4 linked regions of the Arabidopsis thaliana genome follow. The protein of the gene in region 3 interacts with the protein of the main gene of each other region in a pairwise test. Each region holds a gene or a part of one and is shown on either strand. Other genes may lie near its edges. The genes, in order: ALMT1, AT2G45820, WOL and AT1G51650.

Evidence for each region.
Region 1: the proteins of WOL (region 3) and ALMT1 interact in a two-hybrid assay, tested with the Arabidopsis thaliana proteins (one large-scale study listed by BioGRID).
Region 2: the proteins of WOL (region 3) and AT2G45820 interact in a two-hybrid assay, tested with the Arabidopsis thaliana proteins (one large-scale study listed by BioGRID).
Region 4: the proteins of WOL (region 3) and AT1G51650 interact in a two-hybrid assay, tested with the Arabidopsis thaliana proteins (one large-scale study listed by BioGRID).

The regions. Positions count from the first base shown.
Region 1 is NC_003070.9:2,656,532-2,662,265, forward strand, and holds ALMT1 (aluminum-activated malate transporter 1), read left to right. Parts: upstream 1-2,070; 5' UTR 2,071-2,268; coding exon 2,269-2,479; intron 2,480-2,601; coding exon 2,602-2,742; intron 2,743-2,875; coding exon 2,876-3,148; intron 3,149-3,242; coding exon 3,243-3,364; intron 3,365-3,451; coding exon 3,452-3,595; intron 3,596-3,907; coding exon 3,908-4,498; 3' UTR 4,499-4,779; downstream 4,780-5,734. Other genes in the region: BSL2 (BRI1 suppressor 1 (BSU1)-like 2), read left to right, coding at 1-33. UniProt on the Arabidopsis thaliana protein: Malate transporter critical for aluminum tolerance. The STOP1 transcription factor is required for ALMT1 expression.
Region 2 is NC_003071.7:18,861,946-18,866,395, forward strand, and holds AT2G45820 (Remorin family protein), read right to left. Parts: upstream 2,797-4,450; 5' UTR 2,632-2,796; coding exon 2,478-2,631; intron 1,788-2,477; coding exon 1,734-1,787; intron 1,639-1,733; coding exon 1,551-1,638; intron 1,479-1,550; coding exon 1,202-1,478; 3' UTR 1,008-1,201; downstream 1-1,007. Other genes in the region: AT2G45810 (DEA(D/H)-box RNA helicase family protein), read left to right, coding at 1-36, 136-209, 295-373; DTA2 (downstream target of AGL15 2), read left to right, coding at 4,379-4,450. UniProt on the Arabidopsis thaliana protein: Exhibits a non sequence-specific DNA-binding activity.
Region 3 is NC_003071.7:362,201-370,625, reverse strand, and holds WOL (CHASE domain containing histidine kinase protein), read left to right. Parts: upstream 1-2,268; 5' UTR 2,269-2,609; coding exon 2,610-2,671; exon of another isoform or gene 2,672-3,189; coding exon 3,190-3,739; intron 3,740-3,919; coding exon 3,920-4,156; intron 4,157-4,249; coding exon 4,250-4,419; intron 4,420-4,594; coding exon 4,595-4,813; intron 4,814-4,894; coding exon 4,895-5,133; intron 5,134-5,226; coding exon 5,227-5,456; intron 5,457-5,534; coding exon 5,535-5,633; intron 5,634-5,716; coding exon 5,717-6,921; intron 6,922-7,062; coding exon 7,063-7,294; 3' UTR 7,295-7,643; downstream 7,644-8,425. UniProt on the Arabidopsis thaliana protein: Cytokinins (CK) receptor related to bacterial two-component regulators. Also binds the synthetic urea-type cytokinin thidiazuron, a potent defoliant and herbicide. Functions as a histidine kinase and transmits the stress signal to a downstream MAPK cascade.
Region 4 is NC_003070.9:19,150,553-19,154,801, forward strand, and holds AT1G51650 (ATP synthase epsilon chain), read left to right. Parts: upstream 1-1,955; 5' UTR 1,956-2,127; coding exon 2,128-2,311; intron 2,312-3,060; coding exon 3,061-3,089; 3' UTR 3,090-3,499; downstream 3,500-4,249. Other genes in the region: EXO70G2 (exocyst subunit exo70 family protein G2), read right to left, coding at 1-1,292; MKK4 (mitogen-activated protein kinase kinase 4), read left to right, coding at 4,023-4,249.

The sequences.
Region 1 (5,734 bases), on a different chromosome or scaffold from region 3:
AATGACCGAGGAGGTTCTCTGGCTTGGATGTGAGGCAGATAAAGAGGCACTCGTGCACATACATACCGCTCCAAAAAACACTTGTAACATCTGCCTCCTGGTGTTCCTCATGTGTACAGAAAAAGATGAGCCATAGACGAGAAACGATGAGGCTTGAAGATATCAGGGGGTGTGTAAATTAAGATGTTAAAAGGTTAGAGAAGTCAGTTTTGGTGGTGGTTTAGTAGTGATTTGTAGAGTTTATTTGTCCGGGCTTTAGTCCTCTCGTTCATTTTTATTCAGTCTGCTGTTTCTTCTTTTTTTTTATCATGTCATATCTTTCTTTTTTCCTCTTCAATTGTCTCCGTTGTTTTCGTTTGTGGTATAGTTTTTTGGCGAGTGGGTATGAATTCTTAGAATGGTAATGGTTGATTAGGTGGAGGATGGTCTGATGTCGTGGGGGGGGGGGGCTTTTGTGTATTTTAATTTTATTGTCAGTTCATACTTTGTAACATTTGTGTTGATTATATGATACGAAAAATTTTCCTGGCTCCTTTTGGTTGTCTAAGCTAGACCAAAAAAGAAGAGAAAAGAAAGAACTTATGCCCTTGAAAGCGACTTTGAGTTGGTTCATGGATCCTCGGGTGATGGACTCAGTCACTCGATTTGCTTGAGATTCATAAATTTATACATGTGCTTTGTGGCCTTCAAATGAAACACTGGTGATGTCGATATGATGTGATTTGGCATCGATGCTGTCATTGGCTCCAAAAAATCATGTTTTAGCGGTGAGAACAAAAAAAACAAAATTTTTGGAGGATCAGATGGTTGAAGTTAAAACTCGAGGGTATTAGATGGTTAAATTTTAATATTGTTTTGGATATAGGATGGTGATTAAAAAAAAAAAGTTTTGATTAGTGTTGGTGCAGGAATTAGCATCTCCGATAATACCAATTTAAACCAAGGAATAACGTGAATAAAATCGAGAATTCGATTGAACCGGGGTATCCCGGCTAGTCTGTTAATGGGCCTAAGTCATGAGCTCGCCAGAAGATTTAGGTCGACAGTCAAGATCGCCATAGGCGGCTTCTCAGGTCGTGTAAAGGGAAAACTTCCATTTAAGAGAAGAGGATCTCATGAAGAATAGAAGTAATGAAGATTTAGACCTAAGATAATTAGAAGTTTATCATATTTTGGTATGTTGGACCCATTGTATAAATAGGGGGGGGGGGTCAAGCCCTCTAAGAGGATCATGACCAACCTAAGACAAGAGACTACTATTACAGAGCAAACTCTAGCTTTTTATTCAAGCAACTTTGTTCTTCTCCTTTGATTATTCGTGAGCTAAGAGAGAAGTGAATTTGTCTAAATCCCTTAGTACAAATTAATTGTTTGATTAGAGAATCAACAATTAGTTTTGAACCTGATGATGTATTGGTCAAACTTGTAATCATCGCATCTGAGTTTGAGGTCATTTTTTCCAACTGTTGTTATACATATAAAATATCCAAAGAATAAAAGCCTTGTACGATCGGGGTATTGGGGTCCGTACCAACTTGTTGACATTTTTTATGTTTTTGGTGTGTGGCAGACTAGATTGAAACAATAATGACTAAGCAACTCAGTAAGAGTCCTTTTTTTGGACTCAGTAAAAGAGTCCAAGTTTTCTTTGAACAACAAAATTTTGTTGAGGTGTGTATGCACTTGGTTGGGAACAAACAAGTAGATGGCAAAGATCATTCGAACATTGGAGCCCAAGTGTTGAGGGCACTAATCTTGTCGATTACAGAAACGAAATTATTTGGGGAAGCTGCAAGAAAAAGTTTAGTTAAATCTTTTATATTCCTTAATCAAAATGTATCATGCATACACTATATACAATTCACTAAAGTATGATAGTTAAATACCTAATTAATATCATGATCAACTCCTACCGGTTCATCTAACTAATCCAGCTCAGCATAAAAACCCTCACGCGTCGCTCCAATTAAGGGGAGGGCTTAACTAGTGCCCAACTTACTGGGCTAGGTTCGACTCCGTTTTTTTATTACATTTTCCTTTTCCATTTCTTTAAGACTTTAACCCTGAAATCTCGAAGTGCAACGCACCACTAATTTTTTATAAATATTAACATAACATTTCATGAGTCCTAAACAAGAGTCTCTCTTGGTCTTTATAAATACATCGATCCATGTACATAAAAACAACAAGTCATCTTTTCTTTCTATCTGAAAGTAATCAGAGAATCAGAAAACACTTGAGAGAGCTGAGTGACCATCAAAAGGTGTTATGGAGAAAGTGAGAGAGATAGTGAGAGAAGGGATTAGAGTAGGGAATGAAGACCCGAGAAGAATTATTCATGCTTTCAAAGTGGGACTTGCTCTTGTTTTGGTCTCTTCCTTCTATTATTACCAACCTTTCGGTCCTTTCACCGATTACTTCGGTATCAATGCAATGTGGGCTGTCATGACCGTCGTTGTTGTCTTTGAATTCTCCGTAGGTTCGTCATCTAGTTTCTATCATTTGAATATGTCTAGTAGATATATCTAGGGAGAATGCAAGAATTTTTGTTGTAAACTTTTGGCCATAATATTAAATAACTTTGGTTTGATGTGTACTTAGGGGCTACACTTGGGAAAGGACTAAATAGAGGAGTGGCAACATTAGTAGCAGGAGGACTAGGAATTGGAGCTCATCAACTAGCAAGATTGTCGGGTGCAACAGTGGAACCTATTCTTTTGGTCATGTTGGTCTTTGTGCAAGGTAAACCCTTATAACACTCTTTACATTTTCAGATTACCATGCGTTTCCAAGCGTTTGGTCAATCATTGTTTGGCTAAAGACTAGATCAAAGAAGATTGGGCAATGAGTAATTAGTATTGTGATATATGTGCAGCTGCGTTGTCGACGTTCGTAAGGTTTTTCCCATGGGTAAAGACAAAGTTCGATTATGGGATATTGATATTCATATTGACGTTCGCGCTGATATCGTTGTCGGGGTTTAGAGACGAAGAGATAATGGATTTGGCAGAAAGCAGACTATCGACAGTGGTGATTGGAGGAGTCAGTTGCATCCTTATCTCTATCTTTGTCTGTCCTGTTTGGGCTGGACAAGATCTACATTCTCTCCTTGCCTCTAACTTTGACACTCTCTCCCACTTCCTTCAAGGTTTTTTATTTCTTTCTCTTTTTCTTTTCCTCATTATGTCTCTACAAGAACATAAATATATACATATACGAGATAGTGAATGTGAAATTGGCAGATTTTGGGGACGAATATTTTGAAGCGAGAGAGAAGGGGGACTACAAAGTAGTGGAGAAGAGGAAAAAGAATCTTGAGAGATATAAAAGTGTTCTTGACTCCAAAAGCGATGAAGAAGCTTTGGTGGGCTACTCTCTCTCTTTCTTTCCCTACTTGCTTCACAATTATGAAATCATTTGGATTGATTTTGTTTTGATATTTTGCGTTTAGGCTAATTACGCAGAATGGGAACCGCCTCATGGACAATTTAGGTTTAGGCATCCATGGAAACAATATGTTGCCGTTGGTGCATTACTCCGGCAGTGTGCCTACAGGATTGATGCCTTGAATTCATACATCAACTCAGATTTTCAGGTAATCGCTAACTTTTTGTTAGGTGTTTGCATATTTAATTAAAACAAAATTTGAAAATACATAAAAGAAGAAAAACTAATATGCTATTATGCTATAACTATTTTTGATCTAATACAATATATATATCTATATATATATATATATATATATTTACATGTCGCAAATGCAAACACAAAAATAACATCAGGTTGAAATTCTTAGTCTGTTAATTTGTTTATATAGTTTTTTTTTTTAGTGTAAACATGTATAGTAGTATATGTTTCTGGTTAACGTGTTTCTAACCCTTTGTTTATTTCTTATTTTTTCTATTAGATCCCAGTGGACATAAAAAAGAAATTAGAAACACCATTAAGAAGAATGAGCTCGGAATCGGGAAACTCAATGAAAGAAATGTCCATTTCACTAAAACAAATGATAAAATCATCTTCTTCTGATATCCATGTCTCAAACTCACAAGCTGCATGCAAATCTCTTTCTACTTTACTTAAATCAGGCATCTTGAACGATGTTGAGCCTCTTCAAATGATCTCATTGATGACGACTGTCTCCATGCTCATAGATATTGTTAACTTAACCGAAAAGATCTCGGAATCTGTACACGAGCTTGCATCCGCTGCAAGATTTAAGAACAAGATGAGGCCGACCGTGCTATACGAGAAGTCGGATTCCGGAAGCATTGGTCGTGCCATGCCAATAGATTCTCATGAAGATCATCATGTTGTCACAGTTTTACATGACGTTGATAATGATAGATCAAACAATGTTGATGATTCACGTGGAGGGAGTTCACAGGACTCATGTCATCATGTTGCCATAAAGATTGTTGATGATAACTCAAACCATGAAAAACATGAAGATGGTGAAATACATGTACATACATTAAGTAATGGGCATCTTCAGTAAGTAATTCAACTCATTATTTGAGGAGCAGTCTTTTGTACCCGCAAGATTATAGAGACGAGACCATCGGTATATAACATATTCGGGTATTTCATTCAGATTTGAAGTTTGTTACAAATACTATTGTCGCCTTTGATCATTTTTGAACTATTGGTCACACATTTAATAAAGTCTTGGTCTTCGTTTTCCTTTGCGTTACTCTTTTAAAGATTTTTATATCCAACTGATCAAAAAATTTAAAAATAGCATGGTTTTATTTTTGGATTATGGTGTTTTAGAGAGCTAACCTCAGTAAATAAAAGAACATAGACCGGCGCCAGATAAAGACAAGTCCGGCAAAAACTCTAGATTGTTATTTTCTATGAATATAATTAATTTTATTCCAAACATATATCGTATGAAAAAAAAAATCATTTATCATTGGAGGAGGCGGTGATCAGGCGCAGTGAGAGGAGGAGTCGGTTAACAAAAGTGGTCTTGGCCAGTGCCAAAGCGTCATTGTAATCGCTTTCAATTCTCAAAACCAATACGGTAATATGCACAACTAATAGAATGTTTCAGGTGACAAATTTTCTCACTAAAGTCAAACTTTCATACTTGCCGATGAAGTAACAAACATACAGTACGTTCAATACATTAAGGATATATATAAGAAACAAAAGCTGGAAATTGTGTGAATTTAGCTAGGTTAGATTATAGTATAATAAAGTTGCCTTGTACGATTGGGGTAATGGCTAATGGATTCCGTACGTTGATGCCAACTTGGTATTGGCAAGGCTGAGTGTGACTCGGTGCAAAAAGCACCAGCTGCTATCTAATTCCGCGTTCTAACCAATACTACATTTTCATTTATTATTACTTTTTACAATCCATAAATCTCTCTGCTGTGGAGGGTTGATATAAGATCCGAAACTTCTTTGTTGATAAAAAAAAATCTAACAATCTTCCAAGTTCAAATCTCACTCAGGAAATATGAATGACTGAATATTTAATTAGATATTATCGAAATTGTGATTCTTGTTGACAAAAAAAAACAAATCTCATAAGAAGTGGTGATGTCAGTTTTCGTTGAGAGAAAGAGAATTTAAGTGGATATGTTCAATATACAAAAAAAAAAAAAAAAAAAAAATTGGACAATTTGGTCGAATATTAATAAGGTAGGTCTAAATATTAGTGAAAGTAACATATGTGAATGCCCAAAACGGACGGATATTTTACTAGCTTTGAAACAAAGAAACG
Region 2 (4,450 bases), about 18 Mb from region 3:
GATTTTCCTAGGACTTCTGAGTCGTATCTACATAGGGTATGTTAAGGGAAGCCGATTTTGGTTTATCTTCTTGAGAACCTGCTCTGTTTTATTTGTTCAAATTGTGAATGGGTTTTTGCTTCATTATATTACCAGGTAGGCAGATCAGGACGATTTGGACACCTTGGGTTGGCTGTGAATTTGGTAACTTATGAGGACCGCTTCAAAATGTTCGTGTTTCTTTTTCTCAACTGGTGTGGCCTCTCTTTTCATAGATGCTATAGCTTTCTTACTCAATTATTTGGTTTCCAACAGGTATCAGACAGAGCAAGAACTTGGAACTGAAATCAAGCCCATACCTTCACTTATCGACAAGGCAATCTACTGTCAGTAACTTCTACCTGGTGTACATTCTCTACCCGGCAAGGCATTGATGGACTAACCGGTGAGACAAATCCCTCTCTAGGCATCTTGACATTAGAACTAACCTGCATTGCTCATAGACCAAATTTCCATTGATTTTGGTTTGCGGTTATTTAGGTGTAGTGAGGAGGCAAATCATTCAGCTTTGGCAGCCACTAGCTCGTTCTAGAGATGAAGGCAACACATAGAGTACTGTACTGAGGCAAGAAGAGACAGTATAGGTGGTTGATGGCGATGGAAGCGGTTGATTGTGTCTAAACCTTTAAAGCAGTACCGGCTTGATTTGGTTTGAATTGAAGACTTCTTCTGCTGCATGATATGAACCTTAAAGTTGTCTTCTCTCATCTCTAATTTTCATGTTCTTAGAAACCTTTTCACCTTTTCATTTTGATGTTCTCTCATCTTGAAGACTTGAGAGGAATTTCCGAGTAGTGAGATCAAACCGAAGAAGACATTTTAACTTCATTCGCTTGTTTATTGCTTTTAGATCTCCACCTGTGCCTGAACTGTTTAAGGATTATAGTTGGTGTGTGTCAAGTCAAGTGTCTTAGCATTTTAAGAGTTACAGATCAGATGTGAAGTCGTACAACTGAAACAAAAGGCAAAACAAGATTTGATGCTTCATACAATTATACTCCATTAATCTTTCACTTTTACACACAATCACCCAATATGTAAACAAGACACAAACGACCAAACAAATAACAAAAACTAAAAAGAGTTGTTGAATCACACAAAAACAAAAGAAGAAGAAAGAAACAGAGATGAATTGTTACAAAGATACAAATTCAATAAAGGCTTAGAAACATCCACACGTTGCCTTTGGTACTACACCAGTGGCTCTATACTTAGCACCCATTTCTTCAGCTTTGAGAAGCTCTTCTCCTTTTTTAGCTTCAACCATTGCTCTCTTCTCTTCTGCTAACTTGTGGATTGCAGCTACTTTGTTCTTCATTTTCTCACCGTACTGCGCTTTTTTCTTCTCTAATTTTTCCTCGATCTTCCTAAGTTGAGCTTCTACGGCTGCTTTCTTGCTATTTTCCCAAGCATGCACATCAGAGATCTTCTTTTGTGCCCTGTCCATTTCAAGATCATCAGAGATCTGTAAGCAATAGTAATCTTTGGGTGAGAAGATGATGAAAGTTTACCTGTTCTCAGCCTTTGACTTCTCACTCTCTTCCCATGCTTTGATGAATGACGTTTTCTTCTCTTTTTCCAAGTCGGCAAGTATCACATCTGACCAAACACACACAACACACATTTGAAGTAAATTACTGAACTAAGTAACTAAGAAACTGGACATGAGAAACAAAGTGTTGTTATCAGCTGACCTCTATCGGCCGAACCAGATGAAGCTTTCTTAGGTGTATGCTCCTCGATGGGTTCTGCAAGAAGCACACTTATAAGTATAACACATGGATATTTGTTGCAAGAAGCTCACTTTTAACTAAGTTAAATTTTGTTGCTCTAATTGGCTAATAAGGTCATCAAAATAGTAGTTTATAAAACGAAACTCCACACAGAAGGAATTACAGATAGTAAATAAAGATGAACAAATGAATGTTCAAGGATTATAAAAACTGCTGGAAAGTTAGTACTTAATTGTTATTTTCCAAGAGTTAAGCAACTTTAAAGGAAGGAAAAAATGTAGGAATATTAAGAAAGTAACCCACTTTCCTTAATTCATAGCTGTCCACAACTAATTTGTCATGATTCCATACACTTTTTGATAACACTAATTACAGGGAACATTGCTTTACTATTAATCATATTTTAATAATATCATCCTCGAAAAACATAATTCTCTTGAAAATGCCATGATGAAGTTGTAAATTCTAACAGCGATGGATTTCACCTAAACAAATAGAGTATAGACCAAGTCATATGCAAAAGAACTCACAAAAACCTTAGGCATCTTAAGAAAATCCATTTGTTAATTGTAAATTGAAACCTTAGTTCCAAACGTAAGAATTCTGAATTACATACTATAATAATTCATCGTAAACATGAATGAATCCTCCTAAGTAGAAGATTAACATATATAAAACACACACGTATGTAAATAGAAAGCTTACTTTCTACAACGGCAAGAGCTTTGGACTCGACGGGAGGTGGATTATGAATTTTCTCATCCGCGACTTCCACCGGAGCAGGAGTCGGTTCCTTCGCCGGAGCTAAAACAGCCGGAGATTCTACGTCAACCTTACTCGTCTTTTGCTCCTCCGCCATTGTCTCTCAGCCGAAGAAGAAGAACAGATTTTATGTTTTTTCCGTGAAAATGGATAAAATTGAGATTTTAGGACAATAATGAGTTAAAGAGTTTTTATATCCTCCGTTAGCTTATACCGGTGGAGCGTACTACGCGCGTTTAATAAGTGTGAGACTCTTGTTTTGCTTCGCCGTTGATTTTTGTACCCATGTGATCGTGCGGCTGTAAAGCTCTCATACGCATTGGATGCGTTACACGTGATTAAACACACCTCACTGCCGACAAGTAAAGTGGTTCAATGATGCCACGTCACCTCTGTAGAAAATTTGTCCTCCCCTTCTTTTTTCCTGATATTCAACAAAACTTAATTCTTCCAATTATACCGAACTAAAATTTTGTTTACCATATAAATTGGTTTAAAATTGAAAATCAGATTTTAGCTGGGATTTTTTTATTATGAGAAAAACAACAATCAAACTACAATCAAGAAAATAAATGATCTATATTATTGCTAATCTTGGCTTAACTAAAAAGTTCGTATTAAAAAACTGAATCTAAATTTGGAGTGAGCTCGTATGCCTATAGAATTGACAGAGTGTCGGGTGTGTATTAAATCTATAATAAAATATCAATCACTCGAATTCATTTAAACAATTATTTTAGTTTTAAAATTTAAGTGGATCAAAGGGTGACGTGGAGCCTCACTGACTCGACACGCTGGAAGACAGATACAAAAAGGATAATGTCTGTGTCTCGCGCGTGTACAAAACTTTCCGGTTATGTGGCGCGTGGTATATGCAATTTAAACTGGTTTAAGCATGTGGTATATGGACTATGAGATGGAGACATCTCTTTTTGTAGGTGTTGGGCTTTTGTGAATCCTAATGGCCCAACGGGTTTTTAAATTTCCTGCCCAACTTGTTTTAATTTAAAGAAAGGTGTAATTTTTTTTCTAACAAAGCAATAAAGTAAATTAATTAAGGCTAATCACTAATCACAGACTCACAGTTTCGAACAGCCTGTGAAAGATGTATTAATGTATTTGTATAATAATAAAAAGTACTCTACAACATGGAATTATTTACGATTAATTATCTGTCTTGTATGATGATGAGTGGTCGAATATGGACTATGATGTCACTGACCTTTATTTAATGGGTTAAGGTTTATCTTCTTTCTTCTTTCTTCGAAGTTCGGATTCTTTTATTCAGTTTAAAGCACTTATAACAAACTTTCCCAAAGAGGACTTTAATTAATTGAACTCTTGCAGTTTTATTTTTGTAGTAAGCAGATTATTTTTCTAAGAACATCAAAGGTCTTGTATTTAGTTATTTACCAATAAATACAACGTTAATAAGAGACGATTATTTGGGAAACATTTGTGTATCACATATCAATGTCCATATGTGATTTGAGCATAGGAATACCAAATATGGATGACCAAATGTCTCCTACTAATTAATAAAATATTATCTATTTAATATTTAAAAACATTTTAACTCTTCGAAAAACTAAAAAGTAAACAAGATTCACACAAAAATATGAACGTCATTAACACAAAAGATGTGAACTCTGGTTAGTGTTGAAGATAACGTGAAACAAGATTCAAATCCTCGTGGAAGAGCACCAATCGATCACCAGAATCAAACCTTTGAGCTTCCTCCTAGCTTCGGTAACGTTTAATCTCACCTGATTCTCGTTTTTCTTCTCTTCCTGTTGAATGTTTGTGAACATAGATATATATAAAGCTGAGATAGATATAGATTCATGCTTCAACGGAAAAGCATGAAGAGGAACAACAACAATCTTCTAACGAACAAGAATAAGTATGTCTATCTT
Region 3 (8,425 bases):
CATCCTAGGTAGTAGAAATATAGATATCAAAGAGAATGAAGTATAAGAAAAAGAGGAAACAATGGTCAATGCCAAACGGATCACCTTTTTTATAAGACATTTCCCTAAATTAACCATACATAACAAAAAAAGGATATTTGATATTTCCATCGACCCATTTTGTCAATTTTCAAACAATTTTTTTCAATGCATTGACTAATAATGTATAGGGATTCACACATTGTATTTTTGTTTTCAATTATTTTCGTTAGGTTTTAACCATTTATGTTTCTCTAAGGTCTAACCCAAACCCATTTGAGTTAAATTTTAATATATATATATATTAAAAAATAAAATAAAAGAACAAAAAAGAAAATAAAATAAATTCTTTTTCCTTTATAATATAAAGTACAAGTCCCTTGCCCAATAAAATTATGCCACATAAGATTTGTTTATAATTTAAAGAATTATTTAAAATTTTTTAAAAAAAAAACGCTCATTTTTTTTTTCTACATATTTAAAAACAAAAAAATATTCCTAGATTTTCTCACACACCACACCATCATTATCTTTGGAAATTTGTAACCAACTCAAGATTTTCCAAACCGTTTTATCTTCCTCTACAAAAATCCAATTCACGTTAAATCTATCTCTTGCTCTTGCTTCCTCCAAAAAAAAAAAAAAATCATTCCCAGATCCATCGATATGAAATTGTATAGAAAAAATGGTATTCGATCCAAGTTTATTGTCTTCTATTTTTCTTAGGTTAATTTCACTTTATTCCAGATTCATTGTTTGTTTTTTCTTTCTCGGAAGAGCACAATGTGAGTTTCACTGGCCTCTGTTATAAACATATATAGAAATCTGTAACAAAAATCATTACTAAAATTCTGTGACATGTGCAGCGATCAAAGAATCAATAGCGGAAAAAGAAACTACACTGCATTCATCTATGACTGAAAGCTTCTGATCAAGCCATGAAATTAAGGTATCCCAAACACGTATCTTCTCTATGTTTATCAATCTTGCTTTAAGTTCTAATTCTGCATATTTCAAAGGAACCATACAAGTGTTCCTAAAATCCATTTGAATATTCAAAAACTTCTCTCAAATATCATGTAGTTATAGAAGCTACTGTCTCTAAGCGCACGAGAGAAAGCTACACAACCCACGTCAGTTTCCATCTACACATATAAGGTAATAATAATATTTTCATGTATCTTTAATAATAGCTCTATGTTTTTTTCTGTATTTTTCATTATAAAACTCATAACTATGTTATCATTTAATATGGTACTAATTTAATGGGATTGATTTACTATTGCCTCAAACATGTAATAATTTAATGATTTTTTGTTTTTAACGTTTTTAGAAATTCATGAGCATTTTAAATTTGTGGTTAGGTCATAACAATTTGCTATTACAAAAAAAAGAAACACTCTAAATAATATAAAAAATAGTTTACCGTATAATACTAGTAGTAAATAAATAATTTGATTGTTATTCATAAATTTTGAATTCTAAAATCTCCTGAATCAACTCATGCAATTGTCTTAAGAATTACACGTGGATAAATCATGGGCTTATGAGTCAGGCCCATTTAACCGGGGTATTTTCGTAGTTAAGAGACTAGAATGGTGGGTATTTCAGGTAAAAGGTCTATGGGGCCAGATCTGCGCTTTGTCGCGATGTCATTATCGCCAAAGATATGCGATAGCGACTCTCGTACAAAGTCTCTCACTCACCTATATTTTTTGTTTTCTTATATTTCAACAAAAAAACGTTTTATTTTCCTTTTGGTGTAAGTAAAAAAACAAAACAAAACGTTTTATTTCTAAAGTTCAGAAAACTTATTTATACCAAGGAAAAAATAGATAATAAATTTTGAGAAGTTGGTGACTATATATTACTTCACTTATTCAAGAAATTTAAACATGGTAAATGTTACTTTAAATGTTAAATGATGTATAAGAAATGTAATGAAATTGAATAAATGTAGTTTTAAAGATGTTTTAATTAGTAAGACAAACCTAGTTAGTGTCACAATAATTATATTTTTTTTTTTGTCATCCAAAATTATTAAAGCTCAAGTAAACCAATCCTGAGGGATATTATTTACAAATGTGATATGATGCGGTTCGGTGCGGATCTTCCGCGCCAAATTATACGCTTTTATATTAGCATTATAAAAAATTATAGATAAAGAGAAGTTTGTGAATTCTTCATTGTCGCTTTGCAATTTCTCTAAATACACAGTAAATACCGACAATTCGGTTAGAGAAAATATATCTATTTCGTATAATAATGTTAACTTTGAGGAGATTTTGGGTAAAATAATAACTTTTGTTGGATGGATCATATCATGAGCCATTAAGAAAAAGTCCAAAACTTTTCTTCTTCAAAGTTGGACTCAAGTTAGAAAAAGAAAAAAGAGCTAGAGAGATATAAAAATGAAAAGAAAGTTCATGGCAAAAAACTGATATAGACAGAGACACAGAGAGAGAGAAACGTATCTGAAGAAAATCTAAAAAATTCGATTCAATTTTTTTCTTACTTTTAAAAGCAAAAAATCTCACTAAAACAAAAGAAGAAGAAAGAAGAAAGAAAATGGAATACCTACATTTGAAGTGATGAGAAGAGATTTTGTGTATAATAATAATGCAATGTTCAATCCTCTCACAACTCATTACAGGTAACTAAAATAATTTCTCCATGTGCTTGCTTATTAGTCGTTCTTCCTAATGTTATGTTTCTCTCTGTGTTCTTTCTTTCTTTGGTCAAAGCTTTAATTTTTTTTCTATTGTTGGATTTGAGACAGTGAACATAGCTATGTTCTTGTTCCAATAATAAACAATCACGCCTGTAAAGAGCTTATGATTGATTAGTGTGTTTTTTAGTATTAATTAATTTCTCTGACAATAATTACTTAGTTTTTAATTCTTCTCTGTAAGAAACCTTTGGAAACTGAGCAAAGTTGCTTCTTTTGAGAACCATGCGTTTCTTTCTCTCTTTTGTTCTTGAATTCGCAAAAACATGTCCTTTTTCGTCTACAGGTTTCTAGGGTTTGTTTCTGTACTATAAACTATGTTTATGGTAACATTCTTAATCATAACTACACTACCAATGCTTTTATGTTATATGTATGCAAAAAAGGCTCTAACTTTTGTTTTCTTTCACTATTGTTTCTTCTTTTGTTCTCTATTGTTGTAGCTCAGATATGAACTGGGCACTCAACAATCATCAAGAAGAAGAAGAAGAGCCACGAAGAATTGAAATTTCTGATTCCGAGTCACTAGAAAACTTGAAAAGCAGCGATTTTTATCAACTGGGTGGTGGTGGTGCTCTGAATTCGTCAGAAAAGCCGAGAAAGATCGATTTTTGGCGTTCGGGGTTGATGGGTTTTGCGAAGATGCAGCAGCAGCAACAGCTTCAGCATTCAGTGGCGGTGAAGATGAACAATAATAATAATAACGATCTAATGGGTAATAAAAAAGGGTCAACTTTCATACAAGAACATCGAGCATTGTTACCAAAAGCTTTGATTCTGTGGATCATCATTGTTGGGTTTATAAGCAGTGGGATTTATCAGTGGATGGATGATGCTAATAAGATTAGAAGGGAAGAGGTTTTGGTCAGCATGTGTGATCAAAGAGCTAGAATGTTGCAGGATCAATTTAGTGTTAGTGTTAATCATGTTCATGCTTTGGCTATTCTCGTCTCCACTTTTCATTACCACAAGAACCCTTCTGCAATTGATCAGGTCAGTGTGTGCTTTATTAAAAGCTCAAAGCTTTGGTGAAATTTTTGATTCATAAATGCAAAGTTGACTTTTTTTGGAACCAGAAGTTTTTGAAATTTACTCTTTTATGTTTGGTTATTGAGTAAATGAAGGGAAATTTAGGCCTTTGCTTTACTCATTGGTTTGTGGCTAATTTTGCAGGAGACATTTGCGGAGTACACGGCAAGAACAGCATTTGAGAGACCGTTGCTAAGTGGAGTGGCTTATGCTGAAAAAGTTGTGAATTTTGAGAGGGAGATGTTTGAGCGGCAGCACAATTGGGTTATAAAGACAATGGATAGAGGAGAGCCTTCACCGGTTAGGGATGAGTATGCTCCTGTTATATTCTCTCAAGATAGTGTCTCTTACCTTGAGTCACTCGATATGATGTCAGGCGAGGTAATATAAACATTATCAGACACTTATGGTTTTGTTTTTTCGGTTAAGTATCCGACCTGCACCTCTTCTGAATTTTGGCTATCTTTTCTGCAGGAGGATCGTGAGAATATTTTGCGAGCTAGAGAAACCGGAAAAGCTGTCTTGACTAGCCCTTTTAGGTTGTTGGAAACTCACCATCTCGGAGTTGTGTTGACATTCCCTGTCTACAAGTCTTCTCTTCCTGAAAATCCGACTGTCGAAGAGCGTATTGCAGCCACTGCAGGGTAAAGTTCCCATCTGATTACTGGAGCAAACTTTTGCTTGTGATCATGTAAAAAGAGATTTTCGAGATTTCATGATTGGTTTATGTGTGTGATCATGTAAAGGAAAGAGGTTTTTTGAGATTTCAAGATTGGTTTGTGTGTAAAGTAAAGATTGATGCTTGAATTTGAAATGCAGGTACCTTGGTGGTGCGTTTGATGTGGAGTCTCTAGTCGAGAATTTACTTGGTCAGCTTGCTGGTAACCAAGCAATAGTTGTGCATGTGTATGATATCACCAATGCATCAGATCCACTTGTCATGTATGGTAATCAAGATGAAGAAGCCGACAGATCTCTCTCTCATGAGAGCAAGCTCGATTTTGGAGACCCCTTCAGGAAACATAAGATGATATGCAGGTACCACACAGAAAATCTTAAAGCTAAAATACTCTCTGATATCTAAAAACTGATATCTTGTTTGAACAATTTCGAGTGCAGGTACCACCAAAAGGCACCAATACCGTTGAATGTGCTCACAACTGTGCCATTGTTCTTTGCGATTGGTTTCTTGGTGGGTTATATACTGTATGGTGCAGCTATGCACATAGTAAAAGTCGAAGATGATTTCCATGAAATGCAAGAGCTTAAAGTTCGAGCAGAAGCTGCTGATGTCGCTAAATCGCAGTTTCTTGCTACCGTGTCTCACGAGATCAGGACACCAATGAATGGCATTCTCGGTACTACATCTTCAAACAAATTCCAGTACTGTTGCCTTTCATCTTTGGTTTCTCAAACTGCCTCAAAGATTCTGTTTTAAAAATTTTCTGCAGGAATGCTTGCTATGCTCCTAGATACAGAACTAAGCTCGACACAGAGAGATTACGCTCAAACCGCTCAAGTATGTGGTAAAGCTTTGATTGCATTGATAAATGAGGTTCTTGATCGCGCCAAGATTGAAGCTGGAAAGCTGGAGTTGGAATCAGTACCATTTGATATCCGTTCAATATTGGATGATGTCCTTTCTCTATTCTCTGAGGAGTCAAGGAACAAAAGCATTGAGGTAAGTTTTCAATCCAAGGAATAAAGATACATCTATTTGGAGTTGTGGCTGCTAATTTCTTGATTTCAAATTTGGCAGCTCGCGGTTTTCGTTTCAGACAAAGTACCAGAGATAGTCAAAGGAGATTCAGGGAGATTTAGACAGATAATCATAAACCTTGTTGGAAATTCGGTTAAAGTTAGTCCCTATTTCAATCTCTGCCTTTGTTGGCAGCTTGTGTATATGATTTTTGTTTGATCAAGATGTTGTCTTTTTGACAGTTCACAGAGAAAGGACATATCTTTGTTAAAGTCCATCTTGCGGAACAATCAAAAGATGAATCTGAACCGAAAAATGCATTGAATGGTGGAGTGTCTGAAGAAATGATCGTTGTTTCCAAACAGTCAAGTTACAACACATTGAGCGGTTACGAAGCTGCTGATGGTCGGAATAGCTGGGATTCATTCAAGCATTTGGTCTCTGAGGAGCAGTCATTATCGGAGTTTGATATTTCTAGCAATGTTAGGCTTATGGTTTCAATCGAAGACACGGGTATTGGAATCCCTTTAGTTGCGCAAGGCCGTGTGTTTATGCCGTTTATGCAAGCAGATAGCTCGACTTCAAGAAACTATGGAGGTACTGGTATTGGTTTGAGTATAAGCAAGTGTCTTGTTGAACTTATGCGTGGTCAGATAAATTTCATAAGCCGGCCTCATATTGGAAGCACGTTCTGGTTCACGGCTGTTTTAGAGAAATGCGATAAATGCAGTGCGATTAACCATATGAAGAAACCTAATGTGGAACACTTGCCTTCTACTTTTAAAGGAATGAAAGCTATAGTTGTTGATGCTAAGCCTGTTAGAGCTGCTGTGACTAGATACCATATGAAAAGACTCGGAATCAATGTTGATGTCGTGACAAGTCTCAAAACCGCTGTTGTTGCAGCTGCTGCGTTTGAAAGAAACGGTTCTCCTCTCCCAACAAAACCGCAACTTGATATGATCTTAGTAGAGAAAGATTCATGGATTTCAACTGAAGATAATGACTCAGAGATTCGTTTATTGAATTCAAGAACCAACGGAAACGTTCATCACAAGTCTCCGAAACTAGCTCTATTCGCAACAAACATCACAAATTCGGAGTTCGACAGAGCTAAATCCGCAGGATTTGCAGATACGGTAATAATGAAACCGTTAAGAGCAAGCATGATTGGGGCGTGTCTGCAACAAGTTCTCGAGCTGAGAAAAACAAGACAACAACATCCAGAAGGATCATCACCCGCAACTCTCAAGAGCTTGCTTACAGGGAAGAAGATTCTTGTGGTTGATGATAATATAGTTAACAGGAGAGTAGCTGCAGGAGCTCTCAAGAAATTTGGAGCAGAAGTGGTTTGTGCAGAGAGTGGTCAAGTTGCTTTGGGTTTGCTTCAGATTCCACACACTTTCGATGCTTGCTTCATGGATATTCAAATGCCACAGATGGACGGGTAACTAAATCACAACTAATACTATTTTTGGATTATTCGGTTTTTGAATTGTTCGGTATGAAAAATTTCCCGCCAAATTATAACTGACTTGGTTTGGTTCGGATTCGGTTAAAATCTTTTATAAACTTCATTGATTCTCAGATTTGAAGCAACTCGTCAGATAAGAATGATGGAGAAGGAAACTAAAGAGAAGACAAATCTCGAATGGCATTTACCGATTCTAGCGATGACTGCGGATGTGATACACGCGACCTACGAGGAATGTCTGAAAAGTGGGATGGATGGTTACGTCTCCAAACCTTTTGAAGAAGAGAATCTCTATAAATCCGTTGCCAAATCATTCAAACCTAATCCTATCTCACCTTCGTCGTAATCCAATCTTCCGGCGAGTTTTTTTTCTCTCTCCGCAGCCGGAAGAGTGGACCGATTCTGCTGATTGATATGCATTTTGGTTTCTGTACATACAGTAGGTTCACAATCTAGAGATTTTGAAGGTTTTTTTTTCTTTCACCGAAGTAATGTAGCTTGCCATGACTAGTGTATGTTGTTAAACGACAACGTCTAAGACGACGGTTCAGTGTTGATCTTAGCGTAAGTATTAATCCCACGGGATCGTTTGTACTGTATCAGATTTGGTTAGTCGTTTAAACATTGTAATGTTCTAATAATAACTTTTCCATATATAACATCTTCTTATAACTTGAGACGAGACCATTTTGATTCATCTTTTGAGCTTGTTTAGCAACCAAATCGGTTAGCTAGTTGAACGAAGATCAGAGAAAGAGCTCAAACAACTCTTCATTAGCTATAGCTCAGTCGACGACTTGAGCTTTCAAACAACAGAAACAGAGCAAAGCTTAAAAACGACTGCGTTTTACTATTGGTTCGTCGATCTCACTAAACCGAGTGAGATAACCAAAGCCAATCAACAACCCTTTAATCGGATCTCTCGATGTAATCTATAAAGGATGAGAAGAATTAGGAACTTGTCCAAGAAGAGTATATAGAAAATATCTGACTTTTTGTTTGTTTTTTATATACTCTATCGACTTATTTTATCAGTTTCAGTAGGAACGCAACGAAATACTACAGAATGAATTTCTCCCGATTTAGGTAGAATTGGATCACCACACTGTTAGGTTCTAATTTGAAATGCCTTCCGACTAATACCAAGGATAATCATACCGTCTGCATTTCTAACTACCAAATAAATTAATTGGACCAAATCACAACTGAGAGACTTTCTAAACAAATTTGTTATTGTTTTCATGAAAAATCAAACTCAGGTATAGGAGTTAAAGTTTCCTTGTGCCACTACACCAAAGAGGTTTGGACAAATATCTGATTTTTAGAATTATTGAGAATTTAAGAAATGATTGAAAAAAGAAGTAAGTGAAATAAATGTGGTTGATGTGTGACCGTAACGAACAGCAAAGTGGACTAGTTGTTGTTGTCACGTAATCTTTCTACGTACACAAGTGTTCGATCTACATTTCGTGCGAGT
Region 4 (4,249 bases), on a different chromosome or scaffold from region 3:
AGCTCTTCTTGATACTTTGCGTTCTTCCATCCCAAATCAATTTCTAGGACCTTCGACAAGATTGGCTTGTTGTTGTTCCCCAGTAGCTTGTTGCAGTACTCAGTCACAACGCTTACAAGCTTTGGGACACCTCCATCAAGAGGTGGGCAATTTGGTCTCTGTAGCTCTACCTGACAAGGTAACTCCCAGAAGATCTCGGAGACACCCTTAACGAGATTGCTGATTAGCTCCCGTGTAACTCTGCGTATCTCTGAACATTGTTCCCCTCGAAATAGCCTGTTAAACTCTATCCGAAAGTTGTCCATTGTAGAGAAACAATCTAAGAGCTTGATCAGCTTTGGTGGCTCTCTCTTGCATTTGCTGATTCTTGATCCAAATCTGAGAAGCTGAAGGATCACTGAATTTGAAGCTATTTCTCCAAAGCAACGCAAGGGAACATCTTCTCCAATATCTTCAAATACGTCATAGCAGAGCTTACTCTCAAACTCGTATATCTCTTTCACAGCTATCTCCATATGCAATCTCCATTGATCTATATCGCCTTCAATATCATGTACATTATCAGCTTCTGTGATTGTTTTCTCCAGATAACTAATCTCAAACCGTTTCTGAATGACCTTGGTGCGGACTTTGATGTAAACTGGTACGCAGCTTGTTAACCGCGTGTGAGCATGTAATCTCTTGATGATAGCCTGCAACTTTCTCAAGTTGTCTTCTGAGAAAACCGGCTTCTCTTGGAGAATCCGCTTGAATTCTGTTTCAAGATTCTTCAGCGCTGTGTAAAGAATACCTCCTTTGAGATAAGCACGAGACTCGGTCATTTGCAATTCCCGGAGAAGCTCTATGGAAGTCTTGAACCGCAAACCGCAAGGATGATCTTCAGGCATTCCCTTTTCGGTTAGGTACTCGATCGTATCTTCTAGCCAGTTAAGAGCAAGAACACAGCTACTGGAGAGAAGCTTCATCGCTTCTCCAAGACGTTTAACATCCGAAACATAACCAAGGACTCCATCAGAGGACACGAGAGATCTCTCAAGCTCTTGAACCGTAGCAAAGACTCTCAGGACAGCGGATATTGGAGCAATGGTGTGACGGATATGATCAGAGAAAGGAGAAGCCTTCCATCTCTCAACTTTAAGATCAGCTTCTAAAGACGACAACTTATGGTTGATCTCTTCAATCTTGGATCCAGTCTTGTTAAGAACCAATGAAAAGGTTTCAGATTTCTCCATCTCACTCTTCAATAAACTTCTCATTGCTTTAAGCCTCTCAAGTCTCTTTGATTCAGCCATTGTTTTGCTGCTTACTCAGTGGAGGAGGATATGATTGTTGCTTCAACAACTATATATGGATTTGATAACAATCCTTTATCCTCGGAAGATAAACCAAATTTCTTACCAAACCCACCAAAATAAGTAATTACCAGTGTTCTTCTTCTAAAGACTTCTATAAACCAAAACAAGATCACATATAATCATTAACTTAAAGCAAAACCCAAAGTCTTGTTTTATTTGTTAGTCAGCTCAACCATCTTTATCTGAAACTAAACTGTTTCTCTCTTCTTTGTTTCTGACAAGTCAATGAGATTGGTGTCTTCTCTCTGTTGCACATTTAATATTAACTTTTGAAAAACTACAAAACGAAACAAAACAAAGAAAAGCAGACATTTACACGAAATTATGCAGACATATACACGAAATTCAATCTACCTGAAAATGAGAATAAGTTTTGAGTAAATTTCGTGGAGACTCCTGGAAATAAGTTTGTTTGTTTTCCTATTTTTATGTAACTTCGCTTAAATTTCTAATTGCCTAATCAAGGTATTAAAATAGCAAAGCTTGGTTTGGCTCAGTCTTCGCGTAAACTCCAAGAAACAATCATAAAAACAAATAAAAAAGACAAGAAACCAAAAAAAAAAAAAAAGTTGAGAGATTTCAGTAGATGAAAGTTGGATAGAAGATTCGTGTAGTTAGCTACTTAATGGGCCGTTAAAATATTTAATAAGGCCCATTGGGTCTAAACTGTGTTAGGATTACTAGGGCACAGAATCGGTCTCTGTCCCATTTCGCGAACTTTCTCCTTAGAATCGGAACGGACGAAGAAGGAAGACAAGGAAGAAGATCGGAGATGGCATCGAATGCGGCGGTTCCGTTCTGGAGAGCGGCGGGGATGACATATATATCGTATTCAAACATCTGTGCGAATATCGTGAGGAACTGTCTCAAGGAGCCACACAAAGCTGAAGCTCTTACTCGCGAGAAGGTTCACTTCTCTCTCTCCAAATGGGCTGATGGAAAGCCCCAGAAACCTGGTAAGCCTTTTCGATCCTTTAATCGTCGATGTTGGATCTTAGATCTGGATTCTTCACGTTCTTGTGTTCTCGATTCCTGATTTGTTTTTGAGTAATTTGTTGGAATAATCTGATTTCCTAAAAGTTATCGGAATTAAGTGGAAAGTGAATCATCTGCTTCTGGATTTGATCTTCGATTTTGCATTTAACCTTTCCTCTGCTTCTGGATTTGATCAGTTCAATACTATCTTCATACAATGTTGTTATGTCCAAATTGTTGAATTTTTCATTTAGAGTTAGCTTCAGAGAAAACAACAAAACTAGTAGTATGTGTGAAACAAGAACATGAAGAAGATGGAAAGCTGATTGGGAACATTGCATTTAGATGTCTTTTCTCGTTTATGTTTGGATCTGAATTCTTCATGTTCTTGTTGTGTGTCATTGAAATTGTTGGAATACGTAGATATCAGAGTAGGTCATTTTGGGAAAGCTATTGAATTTAAGAGGAAGATGAATCATTTTAACAAGCTCCATCGATTTTGCGCTTAATCTGTCTCTCTTCTGCTTCTGGATTTGATTAATTTCATTCTATTTTGTTTTCTCATAAGTTGTTGTTATGTTCAAATTGTTGAATTTGGAATGATTTCATTTCTCAAATAGGGTTTACTGAGACAATGATTCCAGATTTAGTCTATCTGAAAATGGTTCAGCTTTCTTCTTGTTGATCCATTTGTCTAACATTCTCTCATGTTTTTGTTTTTCCTTGACAGTTTTGCGGTCAGACACACCTGAAGTTTGAAGTCAACTTTGAGCTTATGTTCTTAAGGGATTCAAAAGTAACTGAGTTACCAAGATTTGTTTTCTTTTTATTGTCAACAATGGAGCTTGAGTGAAAAACTCATTTCCGATCATAATAATGACACACTGAGTCTTGTGTATCTCTTTTCTTCTTTTGCTATTCTGTTTCACTTTTTGTATGCGAACAATGAAAAAAAGCCTTTAAAGACTCTTCTGGCTAAAGACAAGTTCTTTTGATTGTTACAGAACAGTGAGAATAGCATAAAACTAAGCACATACGTGGAGAATCAATACACTGTCAGAAGTTGAGAGAAGACCATACTTAATATTAAACATGAGAATATACAAACTGATTTTCTGAATCATGTATTTTGAATCGCAGTACGCATATTTGCAGGTTAGACCATCTCCAATGTCACTTTTACGCGTTTGTTTGATTTAAATTCGATTTCCTCTTCTTGGTTTATATCACAAAACCAACAAAACGACACCGCGTAAAGTCTGAAAAAAACTTAACAGAGCCAGAAGTGCCCAGTGAACCAACCACACAAAGTCACAAATGGTTTCCGTGCTTGAAAGTGATCCTCACGCGCTTTACACATCGCGTAGATACCTTTTTCTCGATTTTAACAATTTTGCTATTTATTTCCTTTTAATTAATTTTCTCAAAATAAAAATTAACGTTCCCTTTTCAGTGTCCTTTCAATTTCTTTCGACGAAACTTCATTTCTCAATTTCTTTTGATTTTGATCGCTTCGAAGAACGAATCAATTTAAGCCTGCCACAAACAAACCCTAGAATACGACAACGCACGACGACGAAGAAGTCGAAGAAGACTACTACTATAAACGACGAAGATCATTACTTCAATCTTCAATCGAGCTTTTAAATTTTCAGATCGTAGAAGAAAATCGAACTTTTGATTCCAAAAGCGATGAGACCGATTCAATCGCCTCCAGGAGTTTCCGTTCCGGTGAAAAGCCGTCCCCGTCGCCGTCCTGATCTTACCTTACCGCTTCCTCAACGCGATGTTTCTCTCGCTGTACCTCTTCCTCTCCCACCTACTTCCGGTGGTTCCGGTGGCTCTAGTGGATCTGCGCCGTCTTCTGGTGGTTCGGCGTCTTCAACGAACACTAACAGCTCCATAGAAGCGAAGAACTA